Nothobranchius furzeri: one gene and its partners. Each later gene encodes a partner of the first gene's protein in a complex. Links are inferred from orthologs where the notes say so. Each region holds a gene or a part of one and is shown in the gene's direction. Other genes may lie near its edges.

What was found.
Region 2: taf7 (region 1) and gtf2b share a complex: the UniProt entries of both Homo sapiens proteins name them as parts of the TFIID-containing RNA polymerase II pre-initiation complex. The link is inferred for Nothobranchius furzeri from reciprocal best matches to the Homo sapiens genes TAF7 and GTF2B.
Region 3: taf7 (region 1) and taf13 share a complex: the UniProt entries of both Homo sapiens proteins name them as parts of the TFIID basal transcription factor complex. The link is inferred for Nothobranchius furzeri from reciprocal best matches to the Homo sapiens genes TAF7 and TAF13.

The regions. Positions count from the first base shown.
Region 1 is NC_091741.1:82,931,173-82,934,827, reverse strand, and holds part of taf7 (transcription initiation factor TFIID subunit 7), read left to right. Parts: coding exon 1-17; intron 18-203; coding exon 204-337; intron 338-603; coding exon 604-724; intron 725-872; coding exon 873-931; intron 932-1,362; coding exon 1,363-1,435; intron 1,436-3,302; coding exon 3,303-3,413; intron 3,414-3,655. UniProt on the Homo sapiens protein: The TFIID basal transcription factor complex plays a major role in the initiation of RNA polymerase II (Pol II)-dependent transcription.
Region 2 is NC_091751.1:71,417,670-71,421,796, reverse strand, and holds the start of gtf2b (transcription initiation factor IIB), read left to right. Parts: upstream 1-1,222; 5' UTR 1,223-1,297; coding exon 1,298-1,314; intron 1,315-4,067; coding exon 4,068-4,127. UniProt on the Homo sapiens protein: General transcription factor that plays a role in transcription initiation by RNA polymerase II (Pol II). Involved in the pre-initiation complex (PIC) formation and Pol II recruitment at promoter DNA.
Region 3 is NC_091755.1:48,193,785-48,196,796, forward strand, and holds taf13 (transcription initiation factor TFIID subunit 13), read left to right. Parts: upstream 1-1,507; 5' UTR 1,508-1,622; exon of another isoform or gene 1,623-1,629; intron 1,630-1,695; 5' UTR 1,696-1,742; coding exon 1,743-2,117; 3' UTR 2,118-2,407; downstream 2,408-3,012. Other genes in the region: slc35c2 (solute carrier family 35 member C2), read right to left, coding at 155-265. UniProt on the Homo sapiens protein: The TFIID basal transcription factor complex plays a major role in the initiation of RNA polymerase II (Pol II)-dependent transcription.

The DNA.
Region 1 (3,655 bases):
TACCATCGAGTTGCACCGTAAGATCAGTAGTCATAAAACTGGCCTGTGTGTGAGAAGTGTGTTTGTAGATTTTTATATGTGGTTTGGTAATTCTTTAGTAATCTTGTCTTTTCTGGTCTTTAGTACAGCCCATCAGTGACACCAGCTGTCGATACTTCAGCAACTTACAACAAATCTCAATCATTTGCTTCTTTCATTTACAGCTGATGGTCGCCACGGAATAGTGAGAGTGGACCGTGTTCCTTTGGCCTGCAAACTGGTGGACTTACCTTGTATGATTGAGTCTCTGAAAACTGTAGATAAGAAAACGTTTTACAAGACTGCTGATGTCTGCCAGGTAAACCACCACTCTATGATTTAATGTTTGCACTTATTAGAAATAAAATGGAAAATGCATGCTCAAACCTATATGCACTGTAAAAAAACAACTAAAATAAATCAGAACTATTTTGAGTAGGGGGAAGGTAGAAGCATAAGATTATGGATTTCCAAACCCCTCCTACAATTTTAGAAACACAAAATTTTAACTCCACAAACACACGGGCAAAAACAAAACAAACAACAACGACAATTGACCAGTCTATTATTTTTATTTTTATTTAGATGCTGGTGTGTACACTAGATGGAGACCTTTTTCCTCCGCTGGAGGAGCCAACTGGCACCGACCCCAAGAGCAAAAAGAAAGATAAAGACAAGGACAAGAAATTCATTTGGAATCATGGCAGTAAGCTGATGAATATCTCTGCATAACTGAATTTTTAATAATTTGTTCTAAAGAAAAAGTCACATGTCAGCAGTTGTGGATGCAGACTTTGCCTCCTCAGCTGATTGAATCATTTTCACTTTGCTAACTCTTTTGTTTTGGTCGTCAGTAACCTGCCCACTGAAGAACACGCGCAAGCGACGATTTCGGAAAACAGCCAAAAAGAAGGTAGACATTTTTAAAATCCCACCCTCTTCCCCATTGCCCTGCTGTTTCTTTGGCATATTGTTTGATGATTCATATATTTCTTAAGCTCTGCTCCAAATGTACTTTTCATAAAACAGCCTCTGTGGTGAAAGTGAAAACCAAGATTAACATATAAAGTGTTCCATCTTTCCTCCAAAGGCATGCAAAAAGGCAATTTCACTACTGCTTTGATCAGAGTGAAAGTGAACAAGCTTGAGTGTGACACTTTTACTTTGTCTTTTGAATAGATCTTCCTGAAGGTGCTGAGCAATATTGATTTGGCTCTTCATGTTTTTAATCACAAAAGTACTTCCTGGCTTGGATCCAACAGTTTTTTGTGAGGGTGTGTGTGTGTGTGTTTGCATGTGTGTTTGTGTGGTTAAGAAGTAACCTGAACTCTGTTTGTTTTGCAGTACATTGAATCTCCTGATGTGGAAAAGGAAGTGAAGAGATTACTGAGTACAGATGCTGATGCTGTCAGCGTTCGTATCCTTTTCGACTCCCACAGTACAAAACATCATGAAAATCTCCCTAACCTGTTACCGTCCAGCAAACTAAAAGGGTTGTTTGGAAACAATACAGCTGTAAAGACAAAAAGAGACCATGGAGATGTTTATACAAAAGTTTTAGAAATTAGGTTTATGGGGCGAATATGTTTATATTGCCAAAAGGAAATTGAAATAAAAGCAAAAAACAGCTTTGATGAAATGGGGCGAAATTGTAGCCTGACCAGCTAGCTGGGAACTCTCCTATTCAAATGACCCCCCCCCCCGGAGAATTCGAACCAAGCAAATCAGTGCTGAGCAGCGTACGAAACACACCGTAACGATGAGTTTCTCATAAACAACGAAGACGGCTTCTGAAGCGGAGTTCGCTGTAGAAGAGCTAAAAGACTTTCTTCTAAAGAAAGATCTTTGCGCTGTCGCCAGAAGCCATTTTTGACTACAGCTAAAAAAAAAAACTTCAGCGTCGCGCGTTACAGTCATCATTTCCGCCTTTTTTTCTGATTGGTTATTTTTGAGTTGGCTAGTCCTGCCTCTCATGTGCCTCTCTGCCTGTGAGTAACCAGACCTGTTTACTGTGTAGAACAGAGGACGAGTCTGGCAGGGCAGGCTAACAAAATTTAGTTAGTTAAGAACTTAACTGAACAAATAGCAAGTATAAAATGTAAGAACTAACGATGTATACAGAAAAAGTCCACATTTATGTAAACAGCTTCAGTAACTGCATAAAAAATCACATTAGAATTGTTGAGAGGTTCTTGGGACAGTTTGATGCTGATTTCATGTAGTTTCACATGTTTTGCAAAACAGGAAATATGGTGTTTCATTAACAAGTTAGTTATAAAGAAAAAAATATTTAATAACAAATCTGCTAAACTCTTTCCAAAACCTATGTCTGGAAGAACAGTATCGAAAAAGATGTGCAATGTATTTTGTCCGAGAGGCATTGCTGTAGTGCGATGTCATCGGCAGGCCCCTGAGCACATCGGGCACCCTGAGTAGATCTGGTACCTACACCGTCTCTGATCTGCTTTCACATGTACATTAGTGATGTTGTAATGCCTGCGGGGAAATGGTGTGTTCTGAGAAAAGCTGGTTAACATGTCATAAGCAGGACACACCCCTTAAATTTACATGTTCCATCCCACTTCAGCATCACTAATATATAAACGTTGGTCACGGTAATGCTAACCGCAGAACAACACTAGCCCAAGCTATTGCTAAGGACCTTATTGGACAATAGGAAAACAACAAAGAAGAATGTCAGAGCTTGCATTGATCTCGGATGAATTTGGAATATTCAGACATTGAATAAATACCAGAGCTTGGTCCACACCTCAACCCCCCCCCCCCCCAATGTCCTGAGAGGATGAGCAGAAAACAGTGCTCAGCAGTATTATGTATGACAGTAGTCTCTGTCGAGGCTGTGGTGAAAACCTGACAATCTCAAACTTAACTGTGATGTACACAGAATTTAATATCTCACATTTAATCCAAGACCCAGCAGACTCCGTCCCACCCAGCTCTCTTTATCTGGCTCCGTGTGATGCTTTTGTGAGGCAGACACTGTGTGAAAAGAAGCTATTAGAGCTCTAATGAAACCCTGAACATTTCTGACAGAATAAGAGCACAGCGGAGCGGCTTTGTCTGGCTGCTTGCTGTGTGTTATTGAGACGGTCGGTTCATTATTGTTTGGTCACAGAGAAACTAGATTCTGTTTATGTTTTTGTTGCTAAATGTTGTCCCTCAGGTGTGATTCATAGAAGAGCTTATTTAGGTTCATCTCACAGGATTTGAGGTATTTTAGTGTTGGATTTTTTTAAAGATTGGCCCTAACTCAAGATGTTCAGGATGGGAAATTATAGCAGAGGATGAGTCCAAAGAAGCAGACCAGCATGGGTCTCTGGCTAATCTGGACTCTTCACCTGGTACTTCAGGACATAAGGGTCACGGGTCCTCAGGTAAATGTAAATACACGTTCTGTTTGATGAACAGCTGGTATGGACTTTGTTGACAAATCTGGGGTACAGATTAAGACTCTGATTGTGACTGCTTTCTATAAAACCATACATAAATCCTGAAAGGACGAAAAGCCTGAATTTCTGCTTTAGTCCCTCAGGAAAAGCTAGCATAGATCAGATCTTTATACATTCGTATGCATGTATTGTTTGCTTATAGACGCATTCAGTCATATGTTGCTTCT
Region 2 (4,127 bases), on another chromosome or scaffold:
ATGAGTTTCTGGCTACGCTAATGGTGACATATGACAGACTTCTCTGAGCTCCACAGCCATTACACTTTTCACCTAGCGCACCCCCTAGCGGCAGCTCGCGCACCTCCTAGCGGCAGCTCGCGCACCCCCTAGCGGCAGCTCGCGCACCTCCTAGCGGCAGCTCGCGCACGCACCACACTTTGGGAATCCGTATTCCAATCCTTCCTATCTTATCTATTAAAGGTCTTCTGTTAACTGACAGAAAATGCAACGATCTTACAATAAGATCACCCTTAAATGAATCTCTTTTTCCTGGAAAAACAAACAAAAATAACATAATTTACACATCTGATAAAACGTCTGTTGAGAAAATAAGAACTATCTACCTAAAATTACCTATACCACCGAAAGCTAAAGAAACCCACTTTAAAATAATGAATGCAATCTATCCTTCAAAAGAGTTGTTAAGAGCTCGTTTTAATATTGATAGCAACAACTGCTCTTTTTGCAAAAACCACATAGAAACTATAGATCATATATTTTATGAATGTCAGAAATCACAATTGTTCTGGAAAAAGCTAGAGGTGTGGATCAAACCACTCCCAGTTCACATCACTAAAGATATGATAATATTTGGAATTATATTCAATAATAAAGATAAAGAACTGCTATAATATCATCCTCTGTTTAGCCAAATTTTTATCCATAAACAACGAATTTTACAATCATCCACTGTCTTCAATGTTCTTAATAGAATTTCAATTATATTTAAAATCCCTGAAACATCTCAACAAATATAACGAAAATCTATATAACATGTTAGCTGAACTTCCAAAGTGATTTCCTAATTCTGTATGATAAATGCTGTACTCTACTTGTTCTTCATGTTCTTTTGTCTCTTGTTGTTGTCTTTTTACTGGATATTTACAAATGTTATTTTAACTGCTCCTTTTGAATTTAAGTTTTGGACTTAACATTGTCAAAGTGCCATGTTTGTTTTTAAATTTACTAAATAAATAAATAAAAATTATTCTTCTTCTTCTATCATGTGGGGACCCTTGAAGGGTCAGATTCCTGATTACGAGTTACTAGTTTACATTCTCCTAACAAACGGAAGGAGTTCATCCCCCTGGTATCTACAGCCTTGCCACAATTTTATTTTGAAGCCCGAAAACCCAACAGGTTCCACGTCCCAAACAAAAGAATTTGATTTAGTTTTGACTCTTGTGCTTTCCGTAGTTTTAGTGACACGTGACCCGAGTATTTATATAGAGGTGACTGGATCATTTGTTTCTCTGACTGAAGAGAAAGGAAGAACATGGCGTCGACGAGCCGGTGCGTAACCAGTTGGACCAACTCTGCAAAACATGTTTGTTCTCTAGTTGAAGTTCCGAGAACGTGAGAAGTTGAAGAATGTGTACAAGAGTGTTTTTAACAGACGACGCTGGTCTGCTGTTGTGGATGTAACGCGTTTAGGGTTAGTTGTGGTCTGGTGGCAGTTAGCTTGCTGGAGAACGTCAGATGCTACCAGAAATCTCTGCTTGTGTCGCCGCTGCGCCTCGCAGCTCCGTGCGGATCCCTTTAGTTTCGTTTCTGTTTGAAGCTCCTCTGCGTCGGTTCGCGTGCGGAGAAGGCTCGTGCCATGGTGAATAAGTAACCAGCGTAGCTCCGAGTCAGTCTGGACGTTTGTAAACAAATCTTAGCCACGTTGGATGTTTACAGCGATTATCATCGTTACCATCGGCTCCCTCGGCTCTCAAAGTTTAAAGTTAAAGTTCCACTAGTTGACATTTGTTCTCCGCATTTCACCCATCCCTGGGGGAACTGTGGGCTGCAGACACAGCCGCGCTTGGGAACCATTTGGTGGTTTGACCCCCCCCCCAATCTATCTGAGTATCAAGCAGGGAGGCAGTGGGTCTCAAGTCTTTGCTGTGACCCGACCGAGATGTGAACCCAGTCCCAGGGCGGGCACTGCTACTAGGTCCCTGAGCACCGCGGTGAAGTTAGCCTGAAGTTGGATGTTCGACAGACATCGGTTTACACGGTCAGAGATGAGTCTTCATGCCGTGCACGGCGGCACAGACAGCGGTAACCTGGGTTCCGCGGACTCGCTAATGGGAACGGTGGTTCCCTTAGGGACTATCAACAAATTTGTAGTCCTTTGTAAACGAGTACAAACAATTAAAAGCTTCCAGAATAATTTGCTAAATGACTCAAAATAACTTCTGACTTGTGTTACTAAACTACATTTACAAGACACAACAGTGTTAACACATTTCACACAATCAGATCTTTTTTATTAGGATTTTATTCCAAAATTAAGGGACTTTTTTTTTCAACAGTTCCTAGGTAAATCAGTCTAAATCCACAAAACCATTTCTCGATTGTGTTACTAAGCCAGACCAATGAGACGCAGCAGTTTATAACAACTTTCATACCATCTGATCTGCTGAGGGTGAGACAGGGAGCACCAGACCTGCTGAGGGTGAGACAGGGAGCACCAGACCTGCTGAGGGTGAGACTGGGAGAGCCAGACTTGCTGAGGGTGAGACAGGGAGAGCCAGACCTGCTGAGGGTGAGACAGGCAGCACCAGACCTGCTGAGGGTGAGATGGGGAGAGCCAGACCTGCTGAGGGTGAGACAGGCAGCACCAGACCTGCTGAGGGTGAGACGGGGAGAGCCAGACCTGCTGAGGGTGAGACAGGAAGAGCCAGACCTGCTGAGGGTGAGACAGGGAGAGCCAGACCTGCTGAGGGTGAGACAGGCAGCACCAGACCTGCTGAGGGTGAGACGGGGAGAGCTAGACCTGCTGAGGGTGAGACAGGCAGCACCAGACCTGCTGAGGGTGAGACAGGCAGCACCAGACCTGCTGAGGGTGAGACAGTGAAGAGTGAGATGATTTTAGTGGCTGATGAGAGGAAGATCTGAATGTAATATTAAGTGAACACAGTTACATTTATGTAATCCCATTACAAGTAGAGCTGGGCAGCACGGCCATGCTGTTCATGCTTCCTTAGACATACTAGAAAAGTAAGTGTTGAACTCTGCATTCTGGTGCATCTAGACAGCAGTTTTGTCCGTCTGAATAATAACGTAGTTCCAGCTGTTGTTGTGAGTGAATGATGTATTTTTTCATTCAGTCACAAACAAACAGATAGTTCTGATTGTTGGTCAGCATTGTTGGCTGATGTAGTTTAAAATATTCTGATGAGAGTCGGATCAGTTCAGACTGAATATTCACAGCTTTAGTCTTGTATTAAATCTGTTTACACATCTCTACCCATAGGAATAAGATCATATATCCTACGTTCATGTTATTAACAGCTTTTTTATCATTAACACGTCCACGCTGGCCAGTAATCAAACCTGGATCCGGCTAATGGGGAGCCTAAGTCTCCGCCCCTTCTGGTTGGCTCATTAGTCCCCGATCAATAAACAGAATGTTAGTGAACTTGCTATAAAGTTATTTTCTAGTCTTTCTGGGGTTTGCCTTACGCCCCAAGTCTCGTCTGTCAGGCTTTTCATATCCTAGAGTTCCACCGTCTGTTTTCTATCAGAAGCGAATGCAGGAGATGGGTGTAGGAGACTATTTTCATGTTCAGCCTGCATGAAACACTCAGAGTGACCCGTTAGAATCAGAAATAATCATTGAATGTATTTTTTTCAGTGAGGTTGACCTACATATTTACCTAAAACAGATTTATCAGATTTCCAACCCCCCCCCCCCCCCCGGTCCATCCCATTAAACTCCTTCCTACTCCTTTGGTTCCCGCTCATTTTTGGCCTTGCGTCGTTCCCGGGTACAAGGGGATCTGCTTGGAATAGTGACGCCCAAAACCTTCTGTTGCTGGGAAAGGTTAAAGGTTATCTCCAAACTATTTACTAGCTCATTCCACAGAGATTAAGATGAGTTATAAATGCAGAACCTTAATCTGTGGTTCATCCTGAGCTCAGAAGTACAAACAACCCAAGAGCTCCATCTCAGACCCTACAAGCCTCATTTAGCAGGTCAAAGGTTTATGTTCACCTTGTTGATTTGTAATTTATGTAATTAACACACATAAATATATCCCTATTGGCTTTCACAGCGGTGAAGGTCTGACCCTGCCCAGGGTTACGTGCCCCAACCACCCTGATGCCATACTGGT
Region 3 (3,012 bases), on another chromosome or scaffold:
GACAGGATTAACGAGAACCGCTGTTGGGAAAAAAAAATGGCAACCATAACTCCAGGAGACAGACATAATATGGATTAAGATGGGCACCAATCAAGAAACAAATAAGAAGCTCTAATAAAGTAACACTCTGGGAAAGGGAATGGGTCTCATTTACCTTCATTAGCCATTTGTTATAGAATGTGATGCCTATAGAGAAGACATAGTAGAGGAGGACCAGTCCAATAGTGCAAAGACCTCTGAAGAGGAACTGAACTGGGCACGCCATCCGGGACTTCCAGGACCAGCTGTCCAGAATGGACTGTTAATGCAGAGGGAGCATCTCCAAAATACCTCTGCACCCCACCACACCACCCATAATGGTTCACTAGAATAAGGACCTAAGGGGAAAAACAACAAACATATGAGATATGTTATTCGGATTCAACAGAACATCCTTATCTACAACAGATAATGTAAATATGTGAGATATAATTCAACTTAGATTATCTGAAATGACTGGGGGACCTCACCCTATACACCTGAAAGACACATCCGGTCTAGCTTTAACAAGCTCTAGCAGACAGCCATGACTTGTTAATGTAACTTAAAAATAAACTATTTTTTAAAATAAAGTTCTCAACTAAGGAGAGTTGTAAATAAAACCCTTCACTTCTAGGAGCGTTAAATTGTATTTTATTTACCTTTATTATAATTCTGACCAAGAACCATGCGATTTGGATTTGGAAGATGCTATAAAATTAAACCAAAAAGTCATTAAGACTGTGTTACCACAGCCACAGCGTTAGCCTACACAGCTAACAGCTAACGAGACATGTGGAGATGAACGGCGTAGCACACACATCCTACTTTACATCTAGATATAATATAAAGTGTGTCCGGTTTACCAGATGGCTTGTGAAGAATCATCACAACCAAGCAGTTGCTATCTTTAGCCGTTAGCTGACAGCTAAGCTAACGCAACTTTCGGATCTCTAAACGTTTTAACAACATTAACATAGAAACATTTAGTAGCTAACCAGCGACTCTAGTGTAGTTCTTACCGGTTCTGATCTTGTGTACACGTCTGAGCACAGAAAGAAAGAAAATAAGGCACTAGATATTTGAGCTAGTGTTTCTTTCCGCTATGTTTCTTCTTCTACGCCTTCAACGGAGGTTGACACATTATTCACAAATGCATGCTGGGTTAGAGAAGCAGAAAACAAAAACCGCCAAAAAGCTTCAACTTCATTATCATTCATGATATAGTTTGGCTAAGTAGAAACAAAAACACTCAAGAAAACAATTGGAATAGATGCAGATCTGAAATAAACCTAATATACATATGAAGTCGTTATTTTTTCCGTTTGTTGAATTCAGCCTGTCAGTGTGACTCTCATGGCTCTAATATTTATTAATTTATTTTGTTTATTTATTTATTTATTTGTGACTCGTTTCAATCTCGATTTTAAACAAGAATTTATTCAAAAGATTAGATCTGCGCTGACGTTTCAAACTCAGTCCAGTAGGTGGCGGTCATGCAATTTGAAGTTGGCGTGTCAAACGCTGAAGCCCAAAAATACCAAAGAAGAAGAACAACAACGAACGTAGAAGAGTCTGGGGATTGTTGTGATCCAGTTTTCAAAGTAAAATGTAATTTTTGTTCTCTAAAACGCATTTTGATGTTTGCATGTTGTAAGTGTGAGGTTTATCTTACAGTAAAGCGTCGTTAAGGCTCGTTTTATCGGCGTTTTCCTCCAGAATTAATGGCGGACGAGGAGGACGAGGCTGGCTTCGAGGAGGAGTTGGAGGACGGGTCCAGCGGAGTGGATGTCGGCCACGGCAGGAGAAAGAGACTCTTCTCTAAGGAGCTCCGGTGCATGATGTACGGGTTTGGAGACGACCAGAACCCGTACACGGAGTCTGTGGATATTCTGGAGGATCTGGTGATCGAGTTCATCACGGAAATGACCCACAAAGCCATGTCTATCGGGCGCCAGGGCCGCGTCCAGGTGGAGGACATCGTTTTTCTAATTCGCAAGGATCCCAGAAAGTTCGCCAGAGTCAAAGACCTCCTGACCATGAACGAGGAGCTGAAGAGAGCCCGGAAAGCTTTTGATGAAGCCAATTACGGCTCCTAATGAACTCGCGTTTGTTTGTCGCTTCCTGCTAACTGGTTTGTGTATTTTTTAGTGGTTCTCACTTGAATAACAGAACTGACTGTTTTAATGACATGTTTACACTGTCAAGTCATCGGAAACTCTCAAATAAAGTTAGTTTGTTTCAAATAAGTCCCAACACCAACAGGAAAACCAACATCTGTTATTTACATTGAAGAATGAAACTTTCTGCCAACGTGTTGGAAAGGATTGTTAAGGTTTTTTTAAGTGTTTCCATGGAAACTGCGTGAATAAATTAACATTTCATTATCTTTCCTGCTGTTTGGATTGGAGAGACTTTTGTGGTATATCAGGTGTTTCTGCAGTTTAAAATTAGAGTTTTTACACCTTAAATGTACCCGTATGTCGTTAGTTTCCTAACTTTGTTGCTGTCTGCAGAAGAGATGACCTGCTGTGGCACATCTGGCTGGGATTTCATAATTGTGAGTGTTAACCCTTTGATGCATAATGGTCACTACAGTGGACAGGTACTCAAAATTGTTATTTATTTGTTTTTGCACAAAGCACAGCTGTTGAAGACTTGATGGCATTTGAGCCCCTCCATTTGGACTTCAGTAAGTCAAGCCAACATGTTTCATGCTCAGAATGCACGCTGCCCACTGAGGTGGACATGTAATAAATTATTTGTAAATTATAAAAAAAATATATATTTGTTGAAATTTGTTTCATTCACACCTAAAGACGAATGAAAAAAATCATGGTTGAAGATTTCATAATTCATGCATCAAAGGGTTAAAGCATTTTGTAATAATGTTCACTCATCTGTTCAATCAGAACTAACCAGTTATGCCATTCAAAGATATATCTACAGTTAATCGCTCATAACATTTCCACAGAACACTTCAAAGGATCTAAA